Linked DNA regions of Caenorhabditis elegans. The protein of the gene in region 2 purifies or fractionates together with the protein of the main gene of each other region. This does not show direct contact. Each region holds a gene or a part of one and is shown on either strand. Other genes may lie near its edges.

The links.
Region 1: the proteins of F27D9.12 (region 2) and lbp-4 fractionate together in Caenorhabditis elegans (co-fractionation; one large-scale study listed by BioGRID). This does not show direct contact.

The regions. Positions count from the first base shown.
Region 1 is NC_003283.11:7,813,100-7,829,954, forward strand, and holds lbp-4 (Fatty acid-binding protein homolog 4), read left to right. Parts: upstream 1-7,478; 5' UTR 7,479-7,487; coding exon 7,488-7,645; intron 7,646-7,901; coding exon 7,902-8,004; intron 8,005-8,055; coding exon 8,056-8,232; 3' UTR 8,233-8,378; downstream 8,379-16,855. Other genes in the region: xpo-1 (Importin N-terminal domain-containing protein), read left to right, coding at 538-769; ZK742.6 (uncharacterized protein), read right to left, coding at 1,534-1,665, 1,718-1,750; mig-6 (Papilin), read left to right, coding at 14,201-14,296, 14,352-14,566, 15,068-15,223, 15,271-15,422, 15,473-16,229, 16,354-16,585, 16,664-16,785, 16,837-16,855.
Region 2 is NC_003284.9:7,648,417-7,664,724, forward strand, and holds F27D9.12 (RING-type domain-containing protein), read right to left. Parts: upstream 8,560-16,308; 5' UTR 8,549-8,559; coding exon 8,422-8,548; intron 8,116-8,421; coding exon 8,000-8,115; 3' UTR 7,985-7,999; downstream 1-7,984. Other genes in the region: pcca-1 (Propionyl-CoA carboxylase alpha chain, mitochondrial), read right to left, coding at 9,389-9,547, 9,602-10,306, 10,362-10,649, 10,697-11,347, 12,089-12,288, 12,339-12,433, 12,486-12,562; dhs-29 (NADP-retinol dehydrogenase), read right to left, coding at 13,580-13,682, 13,725-13,897, 13,990-14,158, 14,642-14,820, 14,866-14,953, 15,004-15,110, 15,842-15,957, 16,004-16,127 and 1 more.

The DNA.
Region 1 (16,855 bases), on a different chromosome or scaffold from region 2:
AAAAATTTGTTTTTTGTCCAAAAAACCAAAAAAAAACCATTTTTGTCAAAATACCGAAAAGTCCCAGCCCTGATCAGCATCAGGGCTTAATCCGAATTTTTTTTTCGAAAGCGAAAATTTTTCTCCAAAAACAAAATATAAAACGTAAAACAAAATTTGTTCGCAAAGTTATTTTGAAAAACTTAAATATTTTGGCCAAAATTGCACTTCTTAAATTTCGAGTACGATTTTTTGAAATATTCAAAAAATAATTATACATTTTACAGTAGATCAGAATTTTTCACCAAAAATATGAAAGAAAACAAAATAAAAAATCGAAAAATCTACAGTCCTAATCAGGGTTGTCGTTTTTTAGTTTTTTTTTTTAGCAAAAATGAATTTTTTGGTTTTTTTTTCAGAGAAAAAACTGTATTGCAAAAATGTTGATTTTTAGTCGGGAGAAGGAACAAAATTCGAAAAAAAATTTGTTGTTTTTTGTAAAATTCAGAATGTTGAAAAAAAATTTTTAGTGACAGCATAACAACGTTCGTCTTTCAGAGATCAAATTCGCATTATCATCAAGGGATTCTTCTCGTTCAACACTGAAATCTCCAGTATGCGCAATCATCTCCGCGACTTTTTGATTCAAATCAAGGAGCACAACGGAGAAGACACGTCGGATTTGTATCTTGAAGAGCGAGAAGCTGAGATTCAACAAGCTCAACAGCGCAAACGAGATGTTCCTGGAATTCTGAAACCTGACGAGGTGGAAGATGAGGATATGCGTTAAGTGGTGTGACCTGGTTTATTTTCAATCGAAATCCTAAACTCGCCAACATATCACTATACTTTTTTTCAAATCTAGTTTATCCACTTTTCCTGAATTTTCACACTATTTGTTTATCTGAATCACTCTATCCAGAAGATCAATTTATTTTGGTCCAAGACCTGCATACGATTGCTCTATTTATCTTCTGTTCGGACAATGATTCCATTTTCTTCCCCATCTCCGCGATCCCGATTAAATATCCCGTACCTTTTCCTTTCCCAAGGTTCTCTTTCCTCCCTAATCTCAACGAGCTAGGTGCCCAGTTTTTTTTGGAATCTGGTCTCTATTTTCTATTTTATTTCTCTACCAGTTACTGTGTAGCTCCCCTCAACCGGATCTCGGAACCCCTTTCTCTCCCACTACTTGATAACTGGAATCTTCTCTGGACCTACTTCCATTCATCATTTATCATAATTTCTGTATTCATCCGTGCGCCCCCTATTTTTCTCTGTGAACCATTTTGGCAAATTTTCAAATTTCTTCAAAAATTTGAACATGTTCATTACTCTTATTTTTTGTAATTGCCGGACCCAATTTTTTTGAATCCTTCTGTCAATTGTCACTCTTCCTCAATTCATCATTCTTGTTGTTCATTGATTCATTCAATTATTCTTTATTATTTTATCATACATTTTTATTTTACCCCCACCACCAGCAAATACAGTTCTCTATGTGAACATACATGCGAATTTTGTTGAACAATGATACAAATAAGTATGAGGAGCTTATAAAATTGTGCAGCATTTTGACTTGGAAACCTCTCGATGATACGAATCAATTGTATCGATAGAGACACGGGGCATCAGATCATTCGATGACGGCTGTGTGATGACTACTTTTGGAGGCCGTCGTGGATCCTGGAAATTATATAGAATAGGTTAATGATTAATTAACTCAGTAGAGGGATACCTTTGGATCTGCGGGCTTTGTCATGTCCTGCATTCAGAACATGAAGAAAATGATGGTTGGTAGAACTGCTGGAAACATAAGCATTTCAATGACGTCACAAAGAAAAGAGCACTCGAAAATTGTTGAGAAGCGTGGAATTATTGAAAAATGTGGGAACGAAGGTTTTGAATTCTTGACAAAAGGCTCGCCCACAAAATGGGCGTGTTCGTGACAGACCCGCCTCTTTTGTGGGCGGAGTCAAAAATACGGCATAAAACATATTTTTCGTAAATCGACACAAAGTGTACAAGTTATTTTGGCTGGGAATCGATTCGAATCTGAATGAGAAAAATTAAGCTAATGATTATTTGTGAATAGAGAAAGCCTGCAGGACATGAGAAAATTAGCCTAATTAACCTATTTTTCACATTTTGGTATTCTAGGCCACGATTATATATTTTTTGGGTTATGCATTCATTTAAAATTAGGCAACCATTTGTTTATTCGTCATTTCAATTTTTGCACGTTTCCGACATTTTCCAATTTTTCGACATTTTCCAAAGAAGTTTCCGACATTTTCCAAAGAATTAAAATTGAAGCGGACGAATTTGTGCTTGAGACACAGAGGAAAAGATTGAAAGAAATATAAAAATAAATATGAAATTCGATGCAGAGACTACTACATCAACAAAACAAAAGATCTTGGCAAAGAATTCTGATTTTGACTAATTTATTTCCAGAGTTTCTGCTTTGAATATATATATGAACTTTAGAAATTTTAGTTGGACGTGGCCTAGAAAAAAAAAGACTCGGCCACCGATTTTTTAGAATCTTTCACAGAAATTCAAAGAAAAAGCTTTGTGGGTTTATATTATTTAAAAGTGGCATATTTGGGCCACGTTATTTAGGCCACAATCATTTTAGATTGGCATTTGCTACATGGCCGAGAAATAGTCAAATCATGGGTGTGTGCGGCAAACTATTTTTCCGGCAAATCGGCAAATTGGCGGAATTGAAAATTTCCGGCAATCCGACAAATTATTTTTGGCTAATTCGCAATATGGTTTCGCACATTTTTCTGGAAATTTCAGGATTTCAATTTTAAACCGCAAAATTGTACGCATCCTTTGAATGTCTCTAGATCTATTTTAAAAAGGAAGCAAATTCTATGAAAATATATGAATAAAACGGGAAAAAAAGTTTCAAAAAGGCACAGTTTTAAGTGTTTCTGTCTTATAAAAAATCCCTCTAAACATTTCCAGCAAATTGATATCCGGAAAACGGCAAATCGGCAATTTGCCGTAAAGGACACTTTCCGGTAAATCTGCGAACCGGCAAATTTCCAATTCGTCGAATTCGTCGAATTCGTCGACAAAAAATTAGTCTAACGGCAGTTTCTACCCAAGAGTCAAATCACAAAAAAAAAATGTTTAAGTGTGTGGAAATTCCGTTAATTGTGTGAAAATCCTGGTTGAAATTGCTTCAGAATTTGAATTGCCCCGCAAACTGGACAAAAATATAGACCTGCCGATTCTAGGATGCGTTTTCTCCCATCTCACCAAAATTTCCAGATTTTTTCTTCACTAAAAACTTTGGTTTAAAACACAAAGCTTTAGAACAAGAAACCAAAAGTTTGCCAAAAAAATGCAATCTGATTCAAAAATCTAGGTCCAAAGAGACACGAGCTCTCGGTAATTTGTACTTGTCTCCCGAATTTCTTTCCTTTTGAAAATCTCGACAAAAAATTATAGAGCGTCTCAAAAAACGTAGACATTCAGCGACAAAAGGAAATAAATATGTCTGTTGTGAAAAAGAGTGACGAGTGAGATTCAGAGCCAAGATAAGTTGAGCAAAAAGGCGAGAGGGTCCCGAAGCTTTCGTTTGGACCATCAAATTGAATTAGAAGGGTCAATTGGAGAAACCTAATGTCGCGAAGAAGAAGCTCTTTGTTAGTGAATGAATGAGAGACTGCGTCATTTGGAACACATTTAACTTTCAATGTATCTTCATATACAATTAAATTGAATTTCATTTTGGCCGGCATTTAATTGGTATTCAAAATAAGAAAATAGAAAAACGTTTCGAAAATTGATGCACTTTTATAGCCAAAATAATTTATTGTTCGGATGCTTTTAGTTGGGATGAGCTCTTAAATGAAAACAATTGAGAAGATATAATATGTACCTTTAAACCAAAAAAACAATATTGCTCCTTTATTCATCATAAGTGCCAATAAAGAACAATATCAAGCGCAAAAAACAAATTTAAGGTACTGACATCATTGGTTTTCATGGCAAAAGTTTAGAACAGGAGTGTACGGCAAATCTCAAAATTGGCAGAGCTCGGCAAATTCCGCAAATTTGCCTAGTTTAGAACTATAGAAATGTTACAATGTTTCATTTACTTTCAGTAAGAAAGCTACAACTTTTCAAAGCTCAAGTAGAGTAAGTGGGGAAATTGTTTAAAACCACTCCTATATTCTTCTTATTCTTATAATAACAATCTCGGGAAAACGTTTCAACATTTTTTTTTTAATTTTTCAAATTTGTAGAAAGAAAGAGGTACATACTTACTAGGTTTCAACAATAATAATTTTGAAAAAAAAACATTTCTACAAGTTTTAATTCTTGTTGCATTTTAATTGTTTATATTAAGATATTCTAGGACTCCCAAGCTACATTAGTCCTAACCAAAACCACCACCTAACCAAATTAACCAAATTAACCAAAAAGTCCAAAATTTTTGAAAAACTGGCATGTTGCCAAAACTTTGACTGAAAAATTCGAGTGGTATTAACTTTCTATGTGCTTCATTTATTATTTTTTAAACTGCCTTCTACGAAACAAATACCACTCAACTTTTTTGTTTAGATTGATATCACAAAATAATGTTAATGTAGCTATATTTCTATTCCGACTAGTGCCCCGTATTTTGAGCATTTTTTTAAAATCGAATTAAAAAAAAAAAAGTTTAACTGAAAAGTTTGAAAATCACCAAGATTTTTTGTGTGTTTTTATTTGTGTTTTTTTGTGAAACAATTTCATACTAAACATGCCCAAATTTCAATAAACAAATTCAATTTTTGGCCATCACGTTGTAAAAATTTAGTAATATTTTTTTGAATTTTAGCCTTTATCTACTTGCAAAAAAAATCAACGACCGAGCTCTAAACAGACTTGTGTTTCCTTTTTTTAAATTATTACGTTGAAAAACTTCACAAATTCAGTTTATTAACAAGTTGCAAGTTTAGCTTTTTAAAAAAAATTGAATGCCGTTACTTATAAAAATAATTCTAGCAATTTTTTGATCTTTTTAGAAGTTTACAAAATTCTAGTTTTTTTTCATCCAAAATTGTTCCTATAATTAAATCCCAAGAAGCCCTTTAAAAATTACATCAATGTTTCGAAGAACTTTTCTCTTCCGGGTACACTTTTCTTTTTGATATTTAGCAAAAATTTGAAAATACCAGATCATTTCCAAGGTACAAGTTTCAAACTTTCGCGCCAAAATTTGATGTATTTCCTGAAAAAAAAACAGCAACCTAATAGATCAGAGCAGAGTTTTCTTTTTCAACTAAACGGTGTCCCATTGTTCTCACTAAGCCAGTGAGCTTTCATCTAAAATTCCAAAGAAGTGAATATTTTATGTGTTGAGTGACAAATACCAAAAAATTCGAAATTTCAAAGCAAAAGAGATATTGGAAAAGAAAAAAGAAGAGTTTTCCGTGTTTTTGTCAAACGACATCTACTTCATAAATGCCCCATCCGTGGGGAAGAAATTGAGAAGAAGAAAAAAGAGAAAAAGCGATGAATGAATGGAAAATATTAATGATGAATATGAGAAAAACAACTGAAATTATTATTTTTTGTTTTTTGGGGTGAACGTAGGAAATTTGTTATAATATTGAATATTTCAATTACCAAATCAGGAAGTATACAATTTTTTACAAGGAGAAATTATTGGAAATGAGAAACCTCGACAGTCTCTTAAAGTAAGAACTTTTGTTAATTTTCTAATTAACCGTACTTGGTTTTTTCAAAAGTACTGAAATTCTGAAGAAATTAAGCCTTATGAAAAGTCTGAAAAGGGATTTTGGAAACAATTACTTTTTTCAGCATTGGGAAAACGGAGAAAAAAACTCATTTTTGAGAATTTTTAGGGTGGCCGAATTTTCTTTTTTTTTCTTCTAGGCTACGCCTTGGTACTAAAAATTCTATCCGAACATAAAAGGAGCAATACAGTTTTAAACTGAAAAGAAATCACGTGGCAATACACGTCATAAAACATAACGACTACAAAACTAAAAGTTTATGCAGTCTTCGCTTGCTTCTCGAAAAACTTGTTATGGAAATGAAATTTGATATCTTCATGCTTTACTAACTAGCTTCTGTGAAGTAGGGAAGAAGATCAGTGAGTGGAATTATATATTCTATGAATCTTTCCATTTTGTTAGGGCAGCGCGGGAATTAGAGCAAACTTTCTCGATTATTTAAAATTTTATTTAAAAAACAAAGTTACTAGTTTAAATATCGTATTTCCTCTATTTGTATTGCATCCCATTGTTCAACTTTGACAACTTAAATATCAGTTATTGTTTGTTCTATTCAAAAATTGTCAACTAACAAAATATTTGTTAGATCTTTTTCTGTCATTTCGTAGTTAATAATATATACTACATCTTTTGAAAGAATTGAGTTATAACGTTTCAAAGTTGAGTAGTAGAGTGCAATACTAATAGAGGAAATACGATATTTATATTATTGCTCAACAATAGCGATTTTCGTAAATATTTTTGCAACACAGCGTTCGCACAAATTATTTTGAGTTCGCGTGATCTTTAAAATAAAACAAGGCAGCAAAACATAAAATCTTCAAACACAAGAGATGCTCTTTTCATCTTCCTGAAATGAGGGAGCTCAAAGAAAAAGAAAACCCGAAAAGTTGTGAATAGCTCCGCCCCGCCTATCTGCGTCTCTGCTTTTTCGGCATTTGATCATTTCGAAAAGTCTGACCAATCTGATTAAAGTATGTATGTGTGTTTGCACTAAAGGCGGCTTTTCTATGGCTCTCGCCTCATAACATTCATCCCATCTTAATTTTTGCAGCTGAAAAATGGGCAAATAGAAGCGGAAAGTAGGAAAAAAGGCGCCAAAATAAGCAAATGAATGACGGAAAAACGGAGAGAATATTTGGCGAGGTGCCAAGCGAGCTCCTACGTGTCAACTTCGATTATACCTCTGTTTTTCGTTGATTTTCCGTGTTTATTGAGTGCCCACAGGAAAACAAAAACGCATACTCGTGAATAAATAAGACATGAAACGAATGTGGCATGTGGAAATGGAGATTTTTTTGGGAATATAAATCTGGAATTTCAGCTGAACTTTTCATTATCTAGTTCATTTGCAAGTATATTTTTTATTTTGCAGTTTATTTTCATCTTCTACTAATAATAGTTTAAATGGGTCGCATTTTATGGTCTTGGCACGAACGCTAAATTAAGAAAAATACAGAACAGTTGACTTAAGAAAGGGAAATGGCGATTTTTCTTTTCTAAAATCGTTAGTTCCATTTCAAAATTGACCTGAACTTTATTTTCACTTATAAAATTTTCACAAATATGTTTCCTCGGAATCTATTTTCCATTAGTCTGTGGTGACTTAATACAGACGCAATCGCGCTCCACCGACACCTAATTATTGTTACCGTTCAATTTAATTCGTTCTTTCATTTATTTCAATTTTTTCCCCGTTTATTTAATTTGCATCATTAAAAAAGTTTTCAGAAAAGGAAAATGTCAGTGCCAGACAAGTTCTTTGGCCGTTATCAGCTCGATAAAAGCGAGAATTTTGATGAATTTCTCTCCTCGAAAGGTGTCAACTGGTTCGTACGGCAAATGATCAAGTTGGCTGGACTCACTAAAATTATCTCACAAAATCAAGAAGCTGGGAAGTGAGTTCAATTAATAATTTTTTTTAACTGAAAATAACCATAACTTTTTATCTGGTGAAAAACTTTTTTAACGAAATTTTTAATTTTTAGAATTTACAACTGTCAACTCTAAAATTGGAAATACGTGAAATTTTTAAAATAAATATGTCACATGCTTCTTTGGCATTTCCAAGTGGTGGAGGAAATCTTTGTCATAAATTTTTCATGTTTTCGTCTAGAGACCACGAAAACATTCAGTTCATCTTGCCTATTCCAGGTACAACATGGAAAATCTAACTTCAAAAAAGAACACCAACTATCAGGCATGGGAACTTGGAAAAAAATTCGAAGCTCCTGGATTGGATGGAAATCAACATGAGGTGAGAACGAAAATTATTTAAATAATTAATTAAAACAATTTCCAATTTCAGATCACTTTCGACTTCAAAGATGAAATCCTTTCGGAGCATCATATTCGCCTGAATGAACCAGAAACCAGCGCAGAGACTTATTTCTACACTATCGACGATCAAAATCAACTGGTGATGAGAATGGAGAATAATGGAATCGTCTGTCGCCGTTGGTTCAAGAGAGTCGAGCAGAAGTGATCTGAATGTTGATTTGATGCTTCTCTGTTAATAGTTAAACCTTATTTATATTATTGTGATTATTTATTGCTGTGCCTTTTTTGTTAATTTTACATTGAGGGTTTGCATAATTGTTTAAGTTTTTGATGAAAAGTTTCAGCTGTTCCTTCTGTGGTTTTGCACTCAACACTTTAAAAAGCAGATGTTCAGAAATGATGTCATTGAAATTGAATGTGGCGTGTTCTTGAATGTTTACCGCAACAAACGGATCAACTTTTCTGGCAAAGTGCCAGCCGTCTCCGATCGCCAGACAGGCTTTACGATGTGAGATGCGCGCACTTTTTGTGTTGACCCGGTCAACTGTGGTTACACTCGGAACACAATTCTGATTACACTTGAAAAACGAAATTGAACAAAAAATATAGAAAATAATCAAAATCAGAACATTATCTGTTTTTGAAATAATTAATCACGGCAAAAGTTCGCAGAAAAACGTCCTTGACGAAAATATTGCGAATTTAAATTTTTTTAAAAAGCTAGAATACGGTACCCGGTCTAGGCACGAAATATTTTTGTTAAATCCAAAAAGATGTGCGCCTTCGAAGAGTACTGTAATTTCGAACTTGTTGCTACGGAATTTTCATCGATTTTTAATAGTTTTTCGATAAAATAGTTATTTATTTACTTATCAAATACTGAAATATAATAATATCATCATATGATGAGTGAAAAATTATGAAAAATCGGTACAAATTCCGCTTAAATAAATGTTTAGGAATTACAGTACTCTTCACATTTTACAAAAATTAGCCGTGTCGAGACCGCGTACCTTTTTTGACACAAAATCACACAATTTCTGGGCATAAGAATATTTTCAGAATATTTTCAGAGTTTTGTCAATATATTATGGTATTTGAAAATTTTAAATTTATTAACAAAATATAAAAACCACGTACAATATTTACCTAGAAACACAAAAAATCGATAATTCAATGACGAAAATTATCAAGAAAATCTACCGTATTCGCGCCTACGGTAGAAAGTATCGGTCGTCGCAGGACCTCGACCATATTTCTATATTTTCTTGAAGGTTTCCGGGTTTTTAAAGGTCACAAATTTGAAAACAACCATTTTCAGTTTATCAGAGTATTTCAGAATTTCTCCGGCAGGATTATTGATCAAATTTTCTGAACCACCGATTTTTCGTTTGTTTATTTTAAATCAACAAAAGTCTTCTGGAACAATCTCAAGACGCCAATGACCCCCCTCCCTCTCACTTTTTTTGTGTTTCTATTTTTCGATGAATTGTCGACTTTGTGTGGCATCCAAAGACACCAAGTGGCCCTGTGTTGCAAAAAGAAAGTCCATCCTTCTGGCGGACGAGAGGAGACTTACAACTTCTTTCCATCCTCTCCTTCCTCATTAATCTGCGAAAGGTTGGTGAGGGGATTTTGGGCCGCCTGCTCGCGCCTGTCACCTCCATAAATAATTGCGATCTCTCTTGTTGCTCCTCTGGTATCTGTCTTCATCTACTTCATTCACACTGACTCATCATTCCGCCACGTTGGAATGTGATTGGAAAAGTGATAGCTGCTGATGTGAAGAGCAAGAAGAGACGAAATGACACGTGTAACTCATTGAAATGCTCATTCGAATGTGCTCTTGCTGTTGTGACACTTTTTGATAAATGCGATTGATGGCGGTTTTGATTTCAAAACATATGTGTGAGTAGTGCTGAAGAATTCTTTGATCTTTCAGAAGATTTCGTAGAACAATTTGGAAAATTTCCTCTGATCATCCGGTTTTATCCGGTTTTTACTTTATAGGTTGCATTTATCGCCTGGTTGCAAAAAAAAACAATTTTTCCAGGTCCTAGAACGAGAGACAATTTTCAGATACCGTACGCTCGATTTTGTCGAAATTTCTATAATTGTTTCAATAAACATCTAGATATTCAATGTAAAAAGCATCAAAATAGTGAACAAAAAATCTAGGAAAAAAAAACTGTAGCTAAAATAAATTAATGGTTTTTAAATATTATTTGGAAAAACATACTACATCGGTAGGTTCATCTTTGCAATTTTTAAAGCTAACTATTATCTCCACTTCTGTTCAAATGCATATTAGCTTCAGGGCTCCAATTCCTACAAGACTTCGCAGTTACTCGAAAGAATTTTCAGAAAACTTTTAGAGATTTTTTCTGGTCATTTTTGTGCCTCATTTTCCAAGTTTGCTTCTTTCAACTGGTTTTACGCAACCCTAGATATGCATGTATTAGGACTACAAGATTTAGTTACTTTATTTCCTAATGTGGCTCAATAACTATTTTTTTACCAGATTTAGAAGTTGGAAAACTTGAACAATAGTTGGGCAAGACTTTTTTTTAATCATAGCTCTAGTTTGATCTTCTTTCCTTATCCCTGTACGTGTTGAAAGAAATTTAATCAGGTGAAAATAAACATAAACAAATTGAAGTTTTGGTAAAAACGATTCAACATGTTGTGAGAACGGTGAAATTTGATTTGTGATTTATTCATGATTAATTTTTTTAAGAATCAAAAATCAAATTTTTTGCCAAAAAGATGTTCAAGAAGTAAATCGCGATCTAAATAAAGTGTTGCCTTTTCAAATCAAAGCATTTCAAATTTCCGAAAGAAGTTTATATTTTTCGGGCCTAATTTGGGCAAGTAGTTTCTGCCACTGCTGATAATTTTCCTATAGTCTTCAAAGAGACGTTCTTCACTTTCAGGAAAAATCTAAATCTAAATCTTCAACACGGTCCACTCTAGAAACGACAAAGTTACAAGAACCCCGGCCGAAAAAAAAATTCCTATCTAATCGGCAACATTTGAAAGACCTCCGATCTCACATTTTATTGCCGCAAGCCGCTCAACACCATCTGGGCACACGAAAGCTCTAAAAGTTTTACGACGGAGCACGGTCTCTCATGTTTCCCAGAACGCCACAAAAACCGCTATAAACTATTCGGAGCTGCAATACGACCCCCACTGACCCTCTTTTTGTGTTTATTCTTTTGAATGTGGATGAGCATTAGAGAAAATAGAAGAAAGAGAACAGATGAGGAGCATCACAACAAACTATATGACAACGTGTGTGTTTGTGTATGCACTTTACAGCAAAACCAAGATGTGAGAAGAAGGCTTCAGAATGATTAATTGAAGTTTCGGACCGTTTTTTTCAGTCGATCTGGCACGCTTGAAGTGTTACACTTATCCGCCCGCGCCACTCAGTTTGATTAATTTTTATCTAATAATTAAAAACCGGGTACTAGCACGAATCGCAGCTGCGGGGTCATCGTGGCAGATGTGTGCAACTTTTTTGTCGCCAAAATTCGACGATACGATTTCGTTTAAGCGAGCAACGCAGCTGGTCGTTGTACCATTTTGAAACTAAAAAAAACAGTACGATTGAAATTCATAAAGTGAAATGGGATGTGAGCAGGTGCTCATTGTGCACTATAGATCAAGCGTTCAGTTTCTATATTTGGTCTACAGAAATGATGTCACATGTATTTTACAGCTAAACTTCCAAGAAATTTCAAATTTATAAACGACATTATGACCGCGATGAGATTGGCAACAGTTTTTTTTTTTTTTCAAACAAAAAAACCACAGAGGGCAATCAGATCACAGAAGTTGCATTGCAAAAAGTAGGTTCTCGAATCGATTTGAAACTTAATTATTTGGTACAGAAAATGGTTGTCTTTGTCTTTTCCAAACAATCTCAAAATATCTATTTTTAAGGTTTAACTTTCAAGAATTGTGATTTTTTTTTTGATTTTTGATTAGAAAATTGCCAAAAACTATGCTCTTGAAAATCAACATATTGAAAGTCGACAAAAATAATTTCCCTATGAATTAAAAAATTAGCTTGATAATAATACACGCACTATATGAGTACAAAAGCAGTTTTGCTTAAAATTTCGAAAAAAGTATATCTAAAAAATTTTAAAAATTCTCAAAACATCTTTTCGCGCGCTTTTTTTCGATTGAAAAGAAAGCAATTTGATAAATGTTTCAAAACACGATATCATAATTATAATTAATTTTCTTGAATATAATACGAACCACGCCTCTTTCGGGCACTTGAAATTTTTTATACCTTAGGTGGACTTGCAAAAAGTTATTTCGAATTTGAAATGGGTAAATGTGTAAAAAAAACTCTAACTATGTTTTCTGAAACTTTCAAACAATCTTATAATTTCATTTTTATTTGTTTGTTTATCTATTTCAAAACTCTTCTCTTTTGAAATTCCATCCTCAACAAATTATATCCAGATGACTCTTCCCAGTTTCTAAATCCAAAAAAACCAGAGAAACTCCAACTGATTTTTGATATGCTATCTCTTCCGTCAAATCAATCTTAACAATTCATTGAGCAAGCCCATCCAATGAGATCAAATTTCAATGTTTATATACAAAACACCACAAATTAGCAGCTATTTGCAGAAACTATTGCCAACTTCCTTTCATAATCAAAACACAACTGCACACAAAAAGTTTCTGGAAGAATAAACATTTGCGAGTTTATGTCTCGATACAGTAGTGTTGCAAGGTCACTTTTGGGATTTGTAGTTAGACAAAAATGTTCAGCATGAGAAATGTTGAGGTCAAAACCAATCTTTGCACTCAGATGCATTGATACATCGAAACAAATCGAACACAACATTTTGAAATCTGATCCGCCGTGGTCAAGCTGATAGGAGTGGCAGGACCACGATATGTCAATCAAAAATCATTTTTGCTGATATCTCTCTGATCTTTCCGAATGTTGTTCCGGATAGAAAAGTTTAGAATTGCTTGTGGTGAAAACCAAAACATGTTTAAACTGACTAAATTTTTGAAGGTTTGAAGTGAATCCGATTTGGAGATGTAAGATCATTACTACACTGGCCCTACTCCGCCATCAAGTGAGATCATCTAGATCTTCAAAATTTTTGAAGCAAACAGCTTCACCGACGGTTTAAACGACATTAAATAACAACAATTAGTTGATTTTCAGGAAAAAATTTCAAGACAATTACTTGCACACATTTTCCAAACTTTCTTTCCCGAAGACCTTGCAGCAACGGACTTGGCACCGAAACTAAAGAAAGCTCATTTGCTTTTTATCCCCTTCATCTCCCACTCAAAACTTTGCCCTAAACTCTGGTAGAGTCTTTGGAGCAGTGTCTCCGTGCAGCAACAAAGAAGACACACGTCTGGCGGGTAGAAGGAGAGAGATAGTTGACCTTACGGCCTGTCTCTTCTAACCAAACGCATAAATCTTTTTTCCTCCCCGTATCTCGAAACCTTCAGAAGAAGATGAAGAAGAAGCGCTCAGTGACTCATTCAGGAGGCGGAGCTTCGGTTGGGGGCTCCCAACATCTGGCGGCTCCACCCCTCTTGTCACGAAGCTTCAGATGGACCATGTTCAGTCGTGTCATCGTTCCCAATTTGTTCATTTGAACCGAACTCGATCGTTTTCCAGACATTTTTGTTCTCTGTTCATTTCCTTATCGTATTCAAAAAGTTATCACAAATGACCTTCTCTATCTGTCTGCGTCTCTTTTAACTCTCACCGTTTGGGACCTTTCAAATAGTTTTTCGCTATCAAATCTAAACATTAGTTGCGTTGACTCGACATTTGACCCCTCACTATCATCTCCAGTTCTCTTTTTTGTTACACTTTAGCAGTGGCAGCAGAGAGCAAGTAGGTGGAGCCAAAGTGTGCGCCATTCATCGGGAAAAATTGTGTTCTTCATCAAATTTTGGGCAATTTACTCGGGATTTGCGCTAATTTGGAAACAAAAATTCAAATTCCTGCCAATTGTTTTGTTTGCTTTTTTTCTTTTTTTTTTGCTCCTCCCATCTCTCATCAAATTGCTCTTTTTTCGATTCTAACATATCAGCCATCTTCAGAGTGTGTCACTAACCCCCATTTTTATTCAAGGTTAGTGATATAGTATCCTAACTACAGACGTCACACCATGAGGTTGCTGCTCTTCTCGGCAGCCCTTCTTCTGTGCTCCGTCCCAACGTGGGCCTTCTCTCTGTCATCATTCTTCGGAAGCGATGTTGCACAAGTAAGCAAGCTCTCCTATACCTAGAATCTTGTAAATTGAAAACTCTAATTTCCAGAAGCCATACCTTCATCCAAACTCCCCACCGGAGCGTGACCCGGCGAGTTCCAGAATGAAGAGACAGGCATATCAAGTGTACGTTGATGGAGATGTTTCCGTTACTGTTGACAAGTCTGGACAAAAGGAAACCGGCAACTGGGGACCATGGGTGCCCGAGAACGAGTGCTCACGTTCGTGTGGTGGAGGAGTTCAACTCGAGAAGAGACAGTGCAGGTTCGTGGACTTTTCATTTTTTAGGGAATTTCCTAGACGTTCTAAAAGCTTATTTTCAAAAATTTTGGTTTCCTGATCTTCATGCCTTTATGAACGTGGTGAAAGATCAACCTAGGCTAGCCTGTGACATACATTTTTTGAAGCAGATCCAACTTTATCAAGAGCCATCGAATTCTCGTTTTAAAGTGTTTTTTTTTTCTGATAACTTTTTTCTAATAGCTTTACCCATTTTTATGTCAAGACTGAAAGCAATGAATCACAAGAGGCTATCTACGTTTGTTTTTGAAGCTCTGTAGGAATCATCTTAAAAAATTAAGTAAAGTAATGGAGATGAAATTCTAATTTTTTAAAATCATAATCATTACTTTCTGTATTATCTTCAAGTTCAAACTTTTCAAACGGTTATTCTCAAGAAACTCACATAGAATTTTAACAATTTCCTCTATCTATTTCTTGCAAGCAACCCACCGAACTCAAATCTTATCCAAACTAAACTTTTAGTGGTGACTGCACTGGAGCTTCAGTCCGCTACATCTCGTGTAACTTGAACGCATGCGAGTCTGGTACTGATTTCCGTGCTGAGCAATGCTCCAAATTCAACGATGAGGCTCTTGATGGAAACTACCACAAGTGGACTCCATACAAGGGAAAGAACAAGTAAGTTAACTTTCTTCAAGATGTTTTTCTAATTTTCGAGTTTTCAGGTGCGAGCTCGTCTGTAAGCCAGAATCTGGAAACTTCTACTACAAGTGGGCTGATAAGGTTGTTGATGGAACCAAGTGCGACTCCAAGAGCAACGATATCTGTGTTGATGGGGAATGTCTTCCAGTTGGATGTGACGGAAAGCTTGGATCTTGTAAGTTTAAAATTTAATTCAAAATCTTCATTTCATGCCGAATATTTCAGCTCTCAAATTCGACAAGTGCGGAAAGTGCGATGGAGATGGTTCTACCTGCAAGACTATTGAAGGACGTTTCGATGAGCGCAATCTCTCTCCAGGATACCATGATATTATCAAACTTCCAGAAGGAGCCACCAACATTAAGATTCAGGAAGCCAGAAAGAGCACCAACAACTTGGCTCTGAAGAACGGTTCCGATCACTTTTATTTGAATGGAAATGGATTGATCCAAGTTGAGAAGGAGGTTGAAGTCGGAGGAACTATCTTCGTTTACGATGACGCTGAACCAGAAACTCTCAGTGCTCAAGGACCACTCTCCGAGGAGCTCACCGTTGCTCTTCTCTTCAGAAAGGGAAGCCGTGATACTGCTATCAAGTACGAGTTCTCTATTCCACTTGAGGAGGAAGTTGACTACATGTACAAGTTTGACAACTGGACTCCGTGCTCTGTATCATGCGGAAAGGGTGTTCAAACCCGTAATCTCTACTGTATTGATGGAAAGAACAAGGGACGCGTTGAGGATGATCTCTGCGAGGAGAACAATGCCACAAAGCCAGAGTTCGAAAAGAGCTGTGAAACTGTTGACTGTGAAGCCGAATGGTTCACTGGAGACTGGGAATCTTGCTCATCCACCTGCGGAGATCAAGGACAGCAATACCGTGTCGTCTACTGCCATCAAGTATTCGCTAACGGACGTCGTGTTACCGTTGAGGATGGAAACTGCACCGTTGAGAGACCACCAGTAAAGCAGACTTGCAATCGGTAAGTTGATTTTATAAATGCATAAACAACTCTGTGAATCTATTTGTTTATGCGATGCTATCCATATATATTACCAGATGGTGTTGGTGCCCAAAACTTATAAACAATTATTTTCTCTTTGCAGTTTTGCCTGCCCAGAGTGGCAAGCTGGTCCGTGGTCGGCTTGCTCAGAGAAGTGTGGAGACGCCTTCCAATACAGATCGGTGACCTGCCGCAGTGAGAAGGAAGGAGAAGAGGGAAAACTCTTGGCCGCTGATGCTTGCCCAGCTGATGAGCAAGAGAAGTTCGACACAGAGAGAACTTGCAATTTGGGACCATGCGAGGGACTTACATTTGTCACTGGAGAATGGAACTTGGTTAGATTTTGCAAAATATGGGGACCTGGGGAAAAGCATACTAAATAAGATCAACTTTATGAAACAAATAATTTTTAGTGCACCCGCTGCAACGATACTGAGGAGACTCGTGAAGTCACCTGCAAGGACTCCCAAGGAAGAGCCTATCCACTCGAGAAGTGTTTGGTTGATAACTCCACCGAGATTCCAACTGATACTAGGTGAGTCATTCCAGATATGACATTGAACTTGGATTAATTTTTTTCTTCCAGATCATGCGCCACCCAACCA
Region 2 (16,308 bases):
TTGGATAGACGGTATATATTTGTATTCGTGGTTGCGTTCCGCCAGCTAGCTGGTCATCGCTTCGCGGAGAGGAAAGACGGTCGAGGTTCAGATACAGCAAATAGTATGTAACAGGCGGTGGTTTGAACGGCTGCCTGCCAAATTGAGAAGGCATACTGAACCGCGCGCGCCGCCGTCGGATTACACACCTTTATCTCACATATTACCTAGAGTGTCAGGCACCTGGAATTTACTATTCAAATTTGAATATTCAAAACTGTATGTAACGAATAACATGTCAAAGTGTGTCAAAGTGTACTTTATTTTCACAATCGAGGTGTCAAACTGTACACTTACAAAAGTAAATTAATTTGCATTTTTTGCTGAGAAGTATTATATAAGAATTTGAAAATTTAAAATTCATTTTGAATTTCCGAAACTTTCAGAATGAATTCAAACCTCATTGATTCCAAAAACACATGTGCAATAGTTTACTACATGCACACTTTGATCTAAAAAAAGACGATCTGAGTCCTTCAGATATTTTATTTTACATTTTGAAGACAGTAAAAATGCTACAAAAGCTGTTTTTGCAGAGTTTAACGGATTTTTGAAAAACCCTGAAAAAGTCTGGAAAGTTTTTAAAACCTACTTTTTTTTTGGAAACTTCAAAAGTCTGCAAAATGTAATTTCGGAGCAGTTTTCCGGATCTCGAAAAAAAGGAAAAAATCACACCTATTTTTTCTAGTTCAAAGTTCGTATAAAGTTATTTTTGGTAAATAATTCTGACTTTTTTCAGATGCATTACAATCGGATCTTCACGCCCTTGTGAAATATCAATTAGATCATCAGCTGCAAGTGGCAATCAGAGAGCATCAGAAATGCTCACTGCTGCAGAGAAACCAATAAAATTGTTAAATTTCATGGGTCAAAGAAACGCTAGCTGGACATATGAGCTCTTAGAATTCTCGTTTGACAGCTTTGATGGGAAAATCAGTTTAATGTTCAGAATTCTTGAGCAGCGATTTATTGAGAAGCAAAACAGGAGGAGCGGATGCAGTTCAGCAGCCAAAAAAGTGACCGCCAGGAAAAATAAGAGAAAAAATTGAACTTGGAGAGAGGTTAAAAAGAGGCGACAACCGATTTGGAGAGGGTTTAACTGAAGAGAGACGGAAGTTAACTGTAGTGATAAGAAAGCCTACCGGCGGTCAACAAACACGCCGAGACCGTCATCCTGCGCACCCTCCCCGAGTTGCGTGCTCTCGAAGTGGCCCCCCGGGAGCTGAACTCATCTAAGCGCGTCGAAAACAATCTCTAAATCTTAACAAACGCTTACCGTGTCGAGCTACTTGTCGGTCAAGTAGATTTGATCATCTTTTTTTCAAACCTATAATGGGCAATCAAATTTCTATACAGCTTAACAATAGTTGTAATTATGTAATTTTCAGCCAAACAGGGAGTTTTTTGGATAAAGTCAATCATATTGAGGGTGGAGTACTGTCAGTGGGAAAATGATTGAAGCATATTCATGTGATCCCAAAATGACAAAATATCATAATAAAACAAGTAATGTTCAAAAAAAAGTTTGAGGTTTTTTTTAATTTTGTGTTATAAAGTGATGAAAACTGATTTAACGCCACTTTTCGAGAAATCTAAAAAATGGGCGCCTGTTTGAACACCTACAGTGTTGTATTTTTCAGTTGGACCATAGAGGTGCAAGACTAATAGAGACTGCAAGGGTATTAGAGGAAATACGTAACGATTATTTTTTTGATCGACAACTCAAAAAAATAGTTGAAAACTGAGTTTTCCCTTTTTTTGACTCAAATATAAAAAAAAGGGACCAAAAAAGTTTTATTATAATATTTGGTCATTTTGGGAAATAGGAATGGCTTTTCATTCCTTTTCCAATGGCCGCACTCCATCTTCAAACTAAATTTAAAAATTGATAACTCATCACATCTACTTACAAACAGGTTTATTATATTTCTATAATTTCAGATTGCAGACAAAAAGGAAGACTGTTGAGAAATGAGTAAGTCAAATTAAAACGTGGGCAGACAGACATGTGATAAAAACCTAAGCAACTTGTCCCGCTGGCACTCAAGATGATAGCAGGAGAGGGGTAGAAACAAGATGAAGCTATCATAATTATTCTTTCACCCACCGAGCGTGTTTTGATAGAGCCCGTTTTTGTTTTCATCGGAAAAGTGTGTGCAGCAAAAAAAAACATAATCAAGCTGTTGCATAATAACAGCAACCTTTAAAAGAAAAATTCGAGGGTTTGACTGAAATAATTTAAAATTTTGACATAATTGGAAGATTATAAGAATGGAGTAAAAACGAAGCGACACTTGACAGATACATAATTTCTAGACAATGCACACCGACTATAGTGAAAATAATTGAAAATACAAAAGAGAAGAGAAAACAAGACGATGTAAAATTGAGAACTGAAGTTCATAGAAAAGAAAAAGGAAGGAGAATTGCAAAAAAAAGCAGAAAAAACAAAAAAGGTAGTGAAAAGAAAAGAGAGCCAAGTACGGTACCACTCAATTTTGCATTTAGTTGTAAAAGCATGACATTCGCAATCATTTTTTACAATACACCTAGGAATGGACACGATGGATGACTAAGAGATGACGTTCCTCTCTGGAAGTGAATGGAAAAGAAAACGGAAAGCGTTGCGGAAAGTTTTGAAACGTGTGTCATCTCGATTACGCAATATGCAAATGGATGTGCGTCTCCGTCCGCATGTGTGGCCCCGTTGGAAAACCGAGTGGACCCCGTGCTCTCCTTACTTCCCGGGCTTTTTCGCTCCCTTTTCCCGCCTCGATGACGAAGACGAAATGGCGGCGAAGTGACCAGCAGAACGCGAAAAGAGTGTGGACGCTCGCGGAGAGCCGCACGTGGGAGCGGCAAAGACGGGGGAAATTGTGCAAGACTCCCGCGAAACGCAGAGGCGTCCGGAGAGGAGAGGGCGGCAGAGTTGAGGAAGGCGGACGGGAGAAGAAGCAGGGCAAGAAGAACGAATGCGTTAGGGAAGCGGACGACGCGGTTGACGCCAGGCCGCGTCCCAGCGATAGGGGACGTCTGAGAGTGTTGCTCGAGACTCTCGATTCGCTGGCAATTAGTTGTGGACCACCGCCTTGAATAGTAGGGCGCGGAAGAGAGATGCAGACGTCGCACGCGGCGACCCTTCCGCAGAGTAGAGAGCCCCTACTGAACCATTAGACCACGCCCATTTCAAGAGAAAAGAGAAAGAGGAAACTTGCTGATCTCCTCTCTTTTTCTCATTCTCTTTCACGTCCATCCGCTTTGACGCAACGAGCAGAAGGAGCAATGGGAGATGCGGAAAGAAGGGAACAAATTTGTTACGCAATCACGAGCACTTTCATTTCTAGCGCAACCTCATTTCCTCTGAATAGGATGCGTCGACTTGTGGAATGGAGTAGAAAGTGATTTGGGAGAGTTGGTCGAGAAAATTATCTTCATTTCATTTCCCATTCAGACGCCTCGTAGCATTACAGAACTATGTCTGGATGGTACCAGGGAGGCACTGCAGGGAGGTTATGAAAACATTTTAAGGCATCGGCTCATCATCAAAAAGAACGGAGGAACGGGGAGGCACATGATTCATAAGTACCTCCTGTGAGCACATGAATAAAACAAAGTGAATTGTCAAACAAAAATGACGGACACTACTGTGGCGAAAACTCCGAAGTCTATACTTTCGATATTAGTCAGTTAGATATAATGAGAAAGGGATGAATATTTTCATTACAAAGTGCATAAGGAAAGCAAGGAGAGATTTTGCAAATGAACTTTATTTCGAACCTCCCCTTTGTTGCATAGTAACGCGCTTTGATGGAAAAATGGATAGAAAAATAATGAATTTTGCTTGGACTTTGCAAGCTTTTTCTCAAACAGATACACATTTGATATAATAATAACAAATATGAATGGAAATGAAAATGGCGAAATGAAGCATTTTCAAAACACTTCACATCAGAATTGATAAGAACTGGTCACTTATTCAAAAGCAGCTGATAACTTCCATTCCATGGTCAATGCGTTTCGATTTGGAACAAGCTGATAAGGGTAAAATTGGAGCTCTGAAATTGAAGAGAGAAAACTAGAAGTTTCCGTTCCTTGAAAGGTCAGTCAACTGACCAGTTGTTTTATCAGCATCTGTCTGTAAATTGTCAATACCCCCAAATATTTCTTGAACTGCGTTGAATGCTGATATGATTTAATTTCAAGTAAGATAGAACTAAAAAGGGCTACTTTTCTTTAAGGTCCGTCCCTTGCCATCCCATTTGTTTCTGGTCTATATTCATCTATTATGGAATGCTCGACTTGCGGAAAGGATTAAACGCAGGGCACTGACCATCAAATGCACGGATGCACATTTCAACTAGTCAACTCCCAGATTAGGAAAAGATTCAGCAAGATTATTTCAACCGCTTTGCAGTTTTCTCAGTGATAGAGCAGATGGATAGAATGCATCTCAAGTATGAACACTGATGTCTCATAAAGTGTACTTCAATCCGCTTCTTTATTTTAGATAGTCAAAAGAACGGATTATAGGTTAAACTCGCAAACTGTTTTGTTCTATGTCCAAGCTTCAGAACTCACCGAACGATTCAAATGATCAACAAACGTTCTTCCTTTCTCTCGCAACAGTCAACAGTTCTTTGTGTACTTTTGGTGCAAGGTAAGAAAAAAGTTTGGTGGCATTAGCTTGACGTGGAGGTTCGCTTTCTTTCTCTTTCTTCTCCAACTCCACCTTCTTCACCCAAATATTTGTCCATGTTCATAATAGCGGAAATGCTAGAGTCCTCCTTTTCAGGTTGCAGGGCATAGAGGAGAAGGGTGCGAAAGTTTGTTTTCGAATGGAACTTTGAACAAGTCGAAAGAGCATATTTCTGCAAGTTTCACCATTGCGCCTAAACTTTTCACACACCAAAATAGTTTGTTTTCTCCTAAACCACAGGGAAAATTATGGAAAGAGTTCATACAGGTAGTGTTTTTCTGAAAGTTTCCTGATTCAATGTTCACAGGTTAAAAAACGAGTTCAATTTTAGGTTGAAATGCGTTGCACAACAAGGAATAATATGTGGTTCCGCAAAGTTTCAGGGTTCTCGAGTTTTTTTTGAAAATTTCAATTTTTAAATAACTGAATCAAATTCATTTTTGTGGTTTCTTTTAAATTGCATCATTTGATCTCAGTTTACAAATTAAAACTAATTTTCATCTATGCCGTTTCCCTTTGCAAATGACTTCACCTCAGTTTTCACCTTTTATGTCAACATTTGAAATACAAGCAGAAATGCTAAAGTTATCAACATATTTAGTATAAGGACGCCATTTATTTTAGTTCTAAAAGTGACATCATTTAAACTTCCTAAGCTTCATCAGGCATTTGCGTTTTTGCTGAATGACATGGCCGAGGTTTTCATCCGGTGTAGCAATGTTGCGAAACCTTCTTGCTTCCGCCCCACTTTCCGCGAAGGTGTCAACTTTCCATTATATCTTCTAGAATTTCGTTTAACAATTCACGGGCTCTCTTACCACCTCGACCTTCTTGCACAATGGCGGCTAACAATTTCACCTCCTAGTGAGCACTCGCCATCATTTTGAGTGACGATCTTCTTAGGAACGCACACGCTCTTGAATTATAGACGGCAGAGGCTCGAGTGAATGGTCAGTCGTGTTTTCCGCAAGAGAGAGCGCCAGAGAAACGACGGCGTTTTTAGAAAAGCACGCGTATTTTTGAGGCAGCAAGGGGGAGTGAGACGAATTGATGAAGGAGCGCGGAAAAGCATTCAGCTTCAAATTCAGAGGGACCATTGAGAAGTCTCGAAAAGGACCGAGTATAGAGTGGTCAGTGCGTCCGAGACGGAGAGAAATCATGGAGAGGAGAGGGTCCCGTTTTCTCTTTCCTTCACGCTTTTTCTCTTTTTCCCGTCCATCTCGAATTGCCAATGGGACCTTTTCGTCTCGCCGAGTGACCACCCGTTGCGCCATCTCAAAATTGAACACACACTAACGAGAATTCAACAAGGGACGAACTGAGTGAACAGTGGCAAAATGATTCGTCCTAATTTTATTTTTAGTGACACATTCCTTCTCCCCCAAAATTTGGCACAAACTCTTTTGACGGAGCCTATTAGTGTTTAAATCATCAGTCATGCTAAAACGGGACAAGAATTTTGAATTTCGTCTTCCATTGCCGACGAGGGCGGGTCACCGCCATATGGAGAATAGGAGGGGGCACTGTGAATACGCAGTACGATTTGAAACGGTCAGGACAGAAAACATTATGCGGGTTATCACAATCAACAACATTCACGCGCGAATTGAATACTTATTTGTTTGGATTCAATCGTATGTGATAACAACAATACATGTAAAGGAAAAAGCACATTCACTTTTACAAGTGAGCTTTAAATAGTGTTTTCGAAAAGGGGAAACATTTATAAAACATTCTCAAACTGAAACATTAATTTTGATTGTTTGAAAAGTCTGATGAAGTTTGCTTTTTAAATTCAACATCCGAAAAAAAGAAACATAGCTTTCATGCCGAAACCTACTCAATTTGAAATGCATATATCATACGTGTCCGAGAGAGAACCGCGCGAGCTTTCTTCCTTTTTTGCATCCAATTTTGAATGTCGTTCTTGCTCACTATTCTTGTTCGTCGCCGATGGAACACATAATCCGTGTCTTCCGCTGCTTTTTTTCTGTTTTCCTCATTCACCTCACGTCGACCAACGTCCGACTAGCGGACACGCTGAATCGGGAGCATCAGCACAACAAAAAAGGAGTGGAGATGAAGATTCGTATAGCAAAAACATTGTAAGCGGACATCCGTTCATCGTTGAAGATTGAATGTGCGGGGGAGAAGAAGTGAACCTGTCACGTGTGCTAAAGGAAAATTGTCATTTTTGTAAAAGATGTTCGTCTTTTTTTTTCCTTAAAAACTCCAGGCAACGAGATGTTTGTTCTAAATTTCCTTCCTACAAAATCCAGAACTTCTCCATAAGAAATCAAGTCCCTGGAGCATTCATCTGCTCCGAGTTATGACCATTCATTGCGATATAAGTTTCTCGAGATTGAAACGCGATATTCCGCATGAGACTCTTTGGCAATTAATAAAAACGAAGCAGTGTGGACGTTCAAATCTTTATATTCTCTCATTTTTCGATACTATTTCAAATGAGGAGACGTCGTCCCCCCAATTTTCAGGGTTGCGCAACAGCGCGTGCTCAAGAATCTTTTCCGCGTGATGCCGCGCGTGAAAGAAAAGGGGAGACCTCCTTGCTCATTGACCACTGCTCAGAAATGTTGACGCCAGTTTGGCTTCGTTCCGCTGAACAGAATGAAAACGAAAGGCGATGGAAGGGTTGTGCAATAATCAATGTTTATTAAATTGCGTCGGCGAATTTCAACGCAGGCCCCCTTTGACCACAACATTTTCTTTTCAGCTGCCAGGAAAATGGATCAGCTGATGGAGAATAATGAATGATGAAAAGTTTCTTAGGGCTTACAAATTCCATAATGATAAAATGTTGAAATGTAAATAGTTAAAAAAAAACAAACATAAACAAATTATTACGTAATTTTTGATGTTAAAGTCTGAAATATATAGCTGAAAGTTTACAAAGGTGGTACCTTCGTTCATGGTACCGCCTCCTACAACAACAAAAATCCTTTTGGGCTCCGACAATAGTTTTATGTTTCTGACTAGTACGAAACAACTTGAATGGAACAGACGTTCACGAGAACTTCAATTTTGGGAGTTCTGATTTAGTAATGCAAGGATAATATGTGAAAGAAGAACTCCCTACGATTTTGAATACGATATTTAGCTCAAAATAGTTTCAACAAAGTCCACCGTTTAGCTTTTCTCTTCAAGTATAGAATTCCACGTGACAGAAAAATCTGTATTATTGTATTAAAACAGTGATACACAGAAGATGCACATATAAGAACACATTTTCATTTTCAATTACAGTCAATTCATTCTATTAGCTTCAATATTCACCCTGCTCCTCAAATCTTTGAAGATGCGCTCAATCTCGTATATTGTCACGTTGCAAATCAAACAATTGGTTCGTCGAGCAATTAATACTGAAAACAAAACAAGCATTCATCATATAAAACAATTTGGGTTAGAGTGTAGAACATACTGAGTCATGACAAAACCCTTTTCATTTGTTGATCCTATTTTCATCTTTAAAAAAATAACAAGACTAAATACTATAATACAACAAACTTCTCTTTTTAATTTGAAATCAATTTAACACATATTGGAAAGGGACGGGTCTCACCCACTTTTTCGAAAAAGTTAGATTTAAACTGTTTAAAACTTCAACTAGCACTTCGTTTTATTGATAATCAAGCTTCAACTCAAAAAAAAATCAAATCTATACTTACAATAAAAACATGCAACACAATTGTGTTCGCATGATGGTGGGCTCCTCCGTTCATGCATAAATTCAAGGCAGGCTGTGCAACAGTTCTCTTCCCCGTCTTCGTATCTACTTATACCGATACTAGACATCTTACAGATCTGAAAGTGCTACAAGTAAGTTTTATTAAAATATTGACATTATTTATTTTCTCAACTAGAAGTTAACAGAATTTAACAATATCAGTGTGACACTACTCACACGAAACCAAAAAACGTGAGTTAAAATGAGATTGAAAAGAACAGAAAACGGCAAAAAAAACTGGAAGAAAAATTCTTCTTTTTCTTCTTCCCATCATTTTCTGTTTCATCTTCTCGTCTCAACTCGTCTTTTTGTCAATTTTCTTTCAGAATAATCAATTGGCACTGCTATTCAATATTTTGAAATTGAGATACATGAAAGAAGAACATAAAAAAGAGAAATCTGAAATTTTTAAAACAGATTTGCAAACTGACAAGTTTTTTCACAACGCTTATTTCCGAGCTTCAATTATGGACTATGGTAAAATGTTTAGTTTACACAAGCTATTTCACAAAAAATAGAAAATTTAATCAACAAAACATCTGCACTTATGTTATGTAGAAACAGAATAGATATATAATTTTCTAATTGAAAAGTTCAAAAAATGAGCAAATGCTTTTTTTTCTTCATATAACAACCTTTTTGCAATGCCTTCTACAATATTTATTCACTACATAATACTTGGGGCAACAAAACAGGGTGGTGGCTGAGAAATACGTCCGTGATGATTGGAATACAACAGGTGAGGGTAATGGCATCAAAAATAAAATATAAATATGGCTTGAAATTTGAGAAACTGCGAATGAAATTATCAATCTCCATACCAGATAGTGGCGGCTTTGAATTGTACAAAATTAGGAAAAAAACGGTAATTAAAACAACAAAAAAAATTCAGGTTCAGTGAGAATAATCTACTCGAGCTCAACGAGCACCTCTCCCTCGTCGACTGTGGCTCCAACCTTCACATTGACGGCCTTGACGCGTCCGGTCTTTCCAGCATGAAGACTGTTCTGCATCTTCATAGCCTCCATGACAACTAACTCTTGTCCCTCGGAAACCATATCTCCTGGCTGTAAATTGAATCAGTTTTAGCACATCTAATGGTAGTGATAAAATAATGTTACCTTAACGTTGACGTTCTTGATTGCTCCTGGCATTGGTGAGAGCACAACTGTGGACAAGTCAACCTTGGCCTTCTCCTTCATGTACTGCAAGTACTTGACGGCCTGCTCTGGAAGCACCTTGACCTTGAATGGAGTTCCCTTGTAAAGAACGGTGATCTCTCCGGCGCGCTTGCCAACAATTTGGGTGGTGATGTGCTCTCCATCGACTTCAATTGAGTTGACTGGATGAGACAAGTTGAGATCTCCACTGATAGTCACAGTCTTTCCACCAATACGAACTTGGGCCTTGTTGGCGCTTCCTTCGACAAATTCGACTTCAACAGCGTGCTCGGTTGGCCTCTCACCCTCCTTCACTGGCAGAGAAGACACGAACTTGTAGGTCTTCGAGAAGGAAGCCACATGAGTGCTACGTTGTTTGTTCTGGTTCAAGAATTGATTGGCACGAGCAAGTTTACGAGCGTTGAGAGCCGAGGCAAAGGCAATGACAACGTCTTGCTCTTTTGGTGAGAGGCTGGTTCCCTGGAAGCCTTCTGGGTACACTTCTGGAAGATATTTGGTGGTAATGTCTCCAGTACGGAATCTCTTCTCTTGGACAATATCACGAAGAAGTGGAATGTTGTGAGTGACTCCACGAATGACGTAGTTGTCGAGAGCCTCTTGCATGCGGTTCAGAGCCTGTTCACGGTTGTCTCCGTGCGTAACGAGCTGAAATTACAAAGTAAGTCACTTGAAATTATCTAAATGCTAATTTATCCTTTACCTTGCAGATAAGTGGATCGTAGTAGATAGAGATTTCCGATCCCTCACGGATTCCAGAGTCGCAACGAACTCCGTCGACGTGTTTTGGCTCAACATATCTGGAGAGACGTCCGACTGATGGAAGACCGAATCCCTTGTATGGATCCTCGGCGTAGACACGAGACTCGAAAGCCCATCCGTTGAGTGGCACTTGCTCTTGGGTGATTGGAAGTGGGTGACCGTAGGAAACGCGAAGCATCTGTTGGACAATATCGATTCCAGTGATGCACTCGGTAATTGGATGCTCGACCTGTGAGTATTTAAAAATTAAACATTTAGGCCATACTGAGATATTACCTGAAGACGAGTGTTCATCTCCAAGAAGTAGAAGTTTCTCTGAGAATCAACGAGGAATTCGACGGTTCCAGCAGAGTCATAACCGACAGCCTTGGCGAGCTGAACGGCCTGTTCTCCCATTTTGCGTCTCATCTCTGGTGGCACAAAGCTGCTTGGAGCCTCTTCGATAACCTTCTGGTTTCTTCTCTGAATGGAGCATTCACGCTCGTTGAGCCACAAAGCGTTTCCATGCTTGTCGCAGAGCACCTGCATCTCAATGTGCCGTGGGTTGTCAATGAACTTCTCAACGAGCATTCGATCATCTCCGAAAGAAGAAGCTGCTTCTTGCTTGGACAAACGGTATCCTTCACGAGCTTGCTTGTCGTTCCAGGCAACTCGCATTCCTTTTCCACCACCACCGGCAGAAGCCTTGATCATGACTGGGTATCCAATGTCGCGGGAGACTTTCACGCACATATCCTCATCAGCAATTTCTCCGTCATATCCTGGAATCATGCTGACACGGGCTGCGGTAGCGATTTTCTTTGAATGAATCTTGTCTCCCATATCAAGAATAGCCTTAGAGTTTGGTCCGATGAACTTGGCTCCAGCCTTCTCAAGCTCGGCGGCAAACTTGGTGTTCTCGGAAAGGAATCCATATCCTGGATGAACCTGCAAATATATGTTTTCAACGTTTTTAGCAGTTCTGTTTGAAAAACATAACAGAAGACACTTGCAATCTATCTCTCGTCATTTGACTTTGACTATTTGAAAATGAAACACGCGAGATGCTAGAGACTGGAAAGAGACCACTTGGTCACTTGTCACAGAATTTTTGTTTTGTTGTGTTTCGTAGTGAAAGTAGGTGAATATCACGTGCATATTACAAGTAACTGGTTTCTAATATATTACGGTAAATCTTAAGCTGCTACACAGCCAAAAGCTCTCGCTCGGGTTGTCAAACTGTTTGACCCTAGCTTGTCCTCTGAAAAATGCGGTAATTCGTGCTTTTCATAATTTGACCTCACCACAGTTTTCAACAGGCCATAAGAGGGAACTCTAGAGCTTCATCACTTCAAACCCTCATATCTCAGCCAGGTGATATGAGCATGAAAAAATTGAGCATTATCAAAATGTAGGGAATGTTTTATTTCACATTTTTTCAGTCAGCAACTTTTTTAAGCTATTCTCTCCGTTTGAAGTTAAGCGCGAACGCTCTGACTTCTTGAACAGTAGTAGTTGATTTGGAGCGGTGTTCTGAACTTTTGCAAAAACTCTATTCTCTGTCGGATGTCTGGGTAATATGTTTGTGCTACTGTGCATGTAGATTCATGCCACAGAATTTACATTCTCCTCTGATATTTGATTTTTGCGGTTTATCCTTCCATTACATAGACACGTTAGAATTCTTACCGCTTGAGCACCGGTGTCCTCGACAGCTTGCAAGATGCGGTCAGCACGTAGGTAGGATTTGGCAGTTGGAGCTTCTCCAACACATACAGCCTCATCGGCCATCTTTACGTGAAGCGAGTTGCTGTCGACATCTGAGTGAACGGCCACTGTCTTGATTCCCATAGCTCTGGCAGTTTTGATCACGCGACACGCAATCTCTCCTGTAAAATAGACGATTAAATCTAAGATTCTTTTAGATGCTTGAGATTACCTCTATTGGCAATCAAAATCTTGTCGAACTTTGGCTCATTGTAATCGATTCCTACAGTAGTGTAAATCTCCTTTCCCTCACGTTCATCAAGTGGTCTGAAATTGAACCTATTGATCTCAAAACCGAATACAACTTTCAGAAACTTACACTCCTGGTCTGGCAACAGCAGCAGTTGCCAATCCACGATTGGCCACAGCGCGGATACTGGATGCAGCACGGAGCATGGTTCAACCTAAAAACAATGATTTTCATGATAAAATGAACAACGACATCAGCAGTTCACAAAAGAAAAAAGTAAGATGATGGAGAAAAACAGTTTCGTGTATAACTTCGATGGAGAAAGATAAGGACGACCGATTTGATTTGGTCAGTTAAGTGATAAACAGCGATGCCTTGAAAACTCTCTTTATATTGATTATGAAGGAAAACTTCGACTAGTAGAAAAAATAAGAAAAACATGCAGAAATGGCAACTGAGCAACGAAGTAAATAGCCTGGCCAGAAAAGAGAAAAGCAAGAAGTGCGGTGCCCTTGTCCCGCAACAAGATTTTCACAAAAGTTGTCTATCTCTCTTTTCTGATGGACCCAAAGCGCAGTTGCCCCGCTCTCTCTCTTTGCCCATTTCTTGCGATTTTGCACGTATTCGTCCTCTGAACACACACACGCAGAGAAACCGAGAAAATCACCGGGATAGGTTGAGAGTTGGAAAGACGACCTCACAATGTTACAATGAAGAACTTCGAATATAATTCATAGTCCAGTCTGCACGTTTTCTATAATTTTTGAACCGAGAGTCCTACAAAAACTAATAATTTTACAAAAAACGTGTATGCGTGAAACGGAAAATCTAAAGACTCACACAGTAAGTACACTCAATACACAAAAAAAAACGGCAAAATCACCAAAAACAGGGAAGAAAAAAGCCGACCTTCTCTGGCAACAGCGAAGGCAAGAATGACCTGCTCATTGACCACTACATGATCAATAAAACAACAAAAAACAGTCCAATAATGCGCGGGGTTGTCCAAGATATCTCACACAGCAACCTCAACGGAGCGCGTTTGCAGTGATCTTCTCTGCGTCTTTGCACACACTGGCCTTTCTCTCGACATGTTGTTTATTTGAGAATGTTTCGTTGAGTTTCTTCATTTTATTTGATAATAAATGGTCGTTCATTGCATTGGCAAAAAAAAACAAAATTAATACATTTTAGGAACTATCAGACACATTTTCAACTACTAGTCAATTATTCTTCCTCTGCTTGGCTTCGTATCGACTGAGAATAGAGAGTGACGGGAAACCAAGAATAAACGTTTGGACAACCCATTTTGCGGTAGAAGCAAAACTGAAAATACAATTTGTTATAAAATCAACTGAAAAAGTTCACCTGATATTGGCTTTATGGCAGAGATAAAGAGCGTAAAGAGCTTCACCGGCGTGTGCTACAAGGGCGAAAAGGTTGGTTAAAAGAGCAACAAATGGATACTCAGTTCCAATCTTATGGACGAGAGATCCAATTAATGGAATATTAAGTGCTGCTGCTGGATGGGCGTAAGAAATCTAAAAATCAAAGATATAGATCGAAGTGGAAGCTTTGAAATATCTATTTTTATCAAACATAGTTTTTTTTCACTTGAAACCTTAAAACTTACGTAGTTGATAGCCAGAGCTGGAACAATGAGGAGCCACCAGAAGAGTTGTGGAGTTTTGTAATAGTCCGACATTTCAATAAGTGTCAGTTTGCAAAATGATGGATCTGAAGCGGAATACTTAACACCCAAATAATTACGAAGCGACCGGCACACTTGAAGAGAGCAGAAACTGAAATAAAAAATTAGATTTTATCATGTTATCATTAGTTGGCTATATTCTACATAGTGTACGAGAATCAAAAAGTAAGTGGAGATGAATAGTTGGTTTCTTTTTTTTTTGATTCTCTCAAACGATAGAAGAAGGGGTGTCTTCGTGTAATAGAGGAGATACTATCTGAATCAATAAGGACACCAATGGTGACCTCAATAATAGAGCGTGTAAAGACAAACTAGACGCAGACAGAAAAACAATTCGGGCAGCTCTTTTTGCGAATACGAAAAGTTGTACAGTTCTCAAAAAAATAATAATAAGACGCGAAAACAGGGCATTGATTTTTAATTTTTCGCCATTTTAATAAGTAGCACATGAATATTGACACTTAAAAAGTACTTTAATTATTTTTAAATATGCCGATTTCATCTACAATTCAAAACAAATGTTCTTAATAAAAATTCACCATGGAAACCAAAATAACGAAACCGAGAAACTTACTTTTTCACAAAAGGGATGAGTGTGATGTACGAGGGAACAAAAGCGTGCACTTTTTCTTTCAAAATAGAATCTACCATTCTTTTCGAGCAAGACCGAATGCTCATGAACGGGAACCATGTACATGTAGGTCTCATATTATTTTCCAAAATCATTGGGGTTCTTGCAAAATATGGGTAGAGCTGAAAACGAGAATATCTCTAGCCAATAATTTAGCAACAACCAACCGTAGTTGTTTTGATACCCTCTAATCCGCGATCTCTGAGCTCCATTTGTAAGGATTCCATAGCTCCGCGAACCGCAAATTTGCTAGTGCTGAAGTAACTGTTAAAGTTTAAAACAAAAACTTTGGAACATTAAATTACCAGTAAGAAAGTCCCATCGTTTCACCAGACCACCCAGCAATTGAGCAAACGCAAACAATGTGTCCGTCGTTCTTGGTTTCCATTTTTGGGAGGAAAGCTCGAATTGTCTGATACGATAAAAATTAAAAATAGAAAACACGTGGTACTAATTCAGTGTCCGTACCAAATTTTATAAAAAACCAAACTTCGACTCCAAACATGTTCTGATACGTAAATGTTTTTCAACGAGTACAAAGAATAATATCTTGATTTGTTTATTGAAGTATGTTTTGAAACACAAATAAAGTTCAATTAAACTCATTTGGTCTGTCGAAAATATATATTTTTTTTGTTTTTCAATTTTTTAAGTTCTCAAAAAAAATTTTTTGACTAGTTTTAAGTTTTAGGAAAGTTTTAGGAAGTTCAAATAATAAACATAGAACAAACGGATTAAAGTTATTAAATGTTTGCTTTAATTGACTGAAAATACCCCGAAAAAACTGACACTAAATTTGCTACGTCTAAAAAACTTTCGGACATATCAGAGTCATGTTGAAGCGTTTAAAATGACTAATATTATAAAAGCACAAGAACGTGTTTATTGAAAAAAAAAAAACTGAATCTGAGCTCATTCGATACTTCTTTGTTATTTTGATTTACCATAAAAAATTTAGGTTTTTTAGCATCCTTGTTATGAAACTTTGCGTTTCATGCCAGAAAAACAATTTTGCTTTAATACTGCTCCTTAAAACAATATCGATTTCATTTTTTGTTATTTTCTCACCATATTTTTAAAATGCTAACTATAAGTATTGATACTTTGTTTATATTTTAAAATTTTCATCTTAAGCAAACTTACATTAATTGTACCAAAAATGTTAACGTCAAGACACTTTCTGAGCAGCTCATCCGAAATCTCCATGAATGATGTGAAGGATAAGATTGCAGCATTACAGATCACAATATTAACGTCACCTAAATCTAATCTTCCTCAAATGCCTCATTTTTAATTTAAAAATACCAAATGTGTCTTCAATTTCTTTTGCCGTCTTTTTCATATTGTCCACATCACTTATATCGCAATACCAAAACTTGGCCATATTCCCCTCTGCCGCAATGGTTTTCACCGTCTCCAGCCCTCCTTCCTTAATGTTTTATTCAAAACGGTGAATCATTTTTGGCATTCATACCTTGTTCACGTCAATTATAGCAACTTTTGCTTTTCTCTTGGCAAAATCCAAGGCCATCGCTCGACCCAGACCAGATCCTCCTCCTGTAATTATGACGGTCTGCCCTTGTACACTCTGTAAAATATGAGTTTTGAGT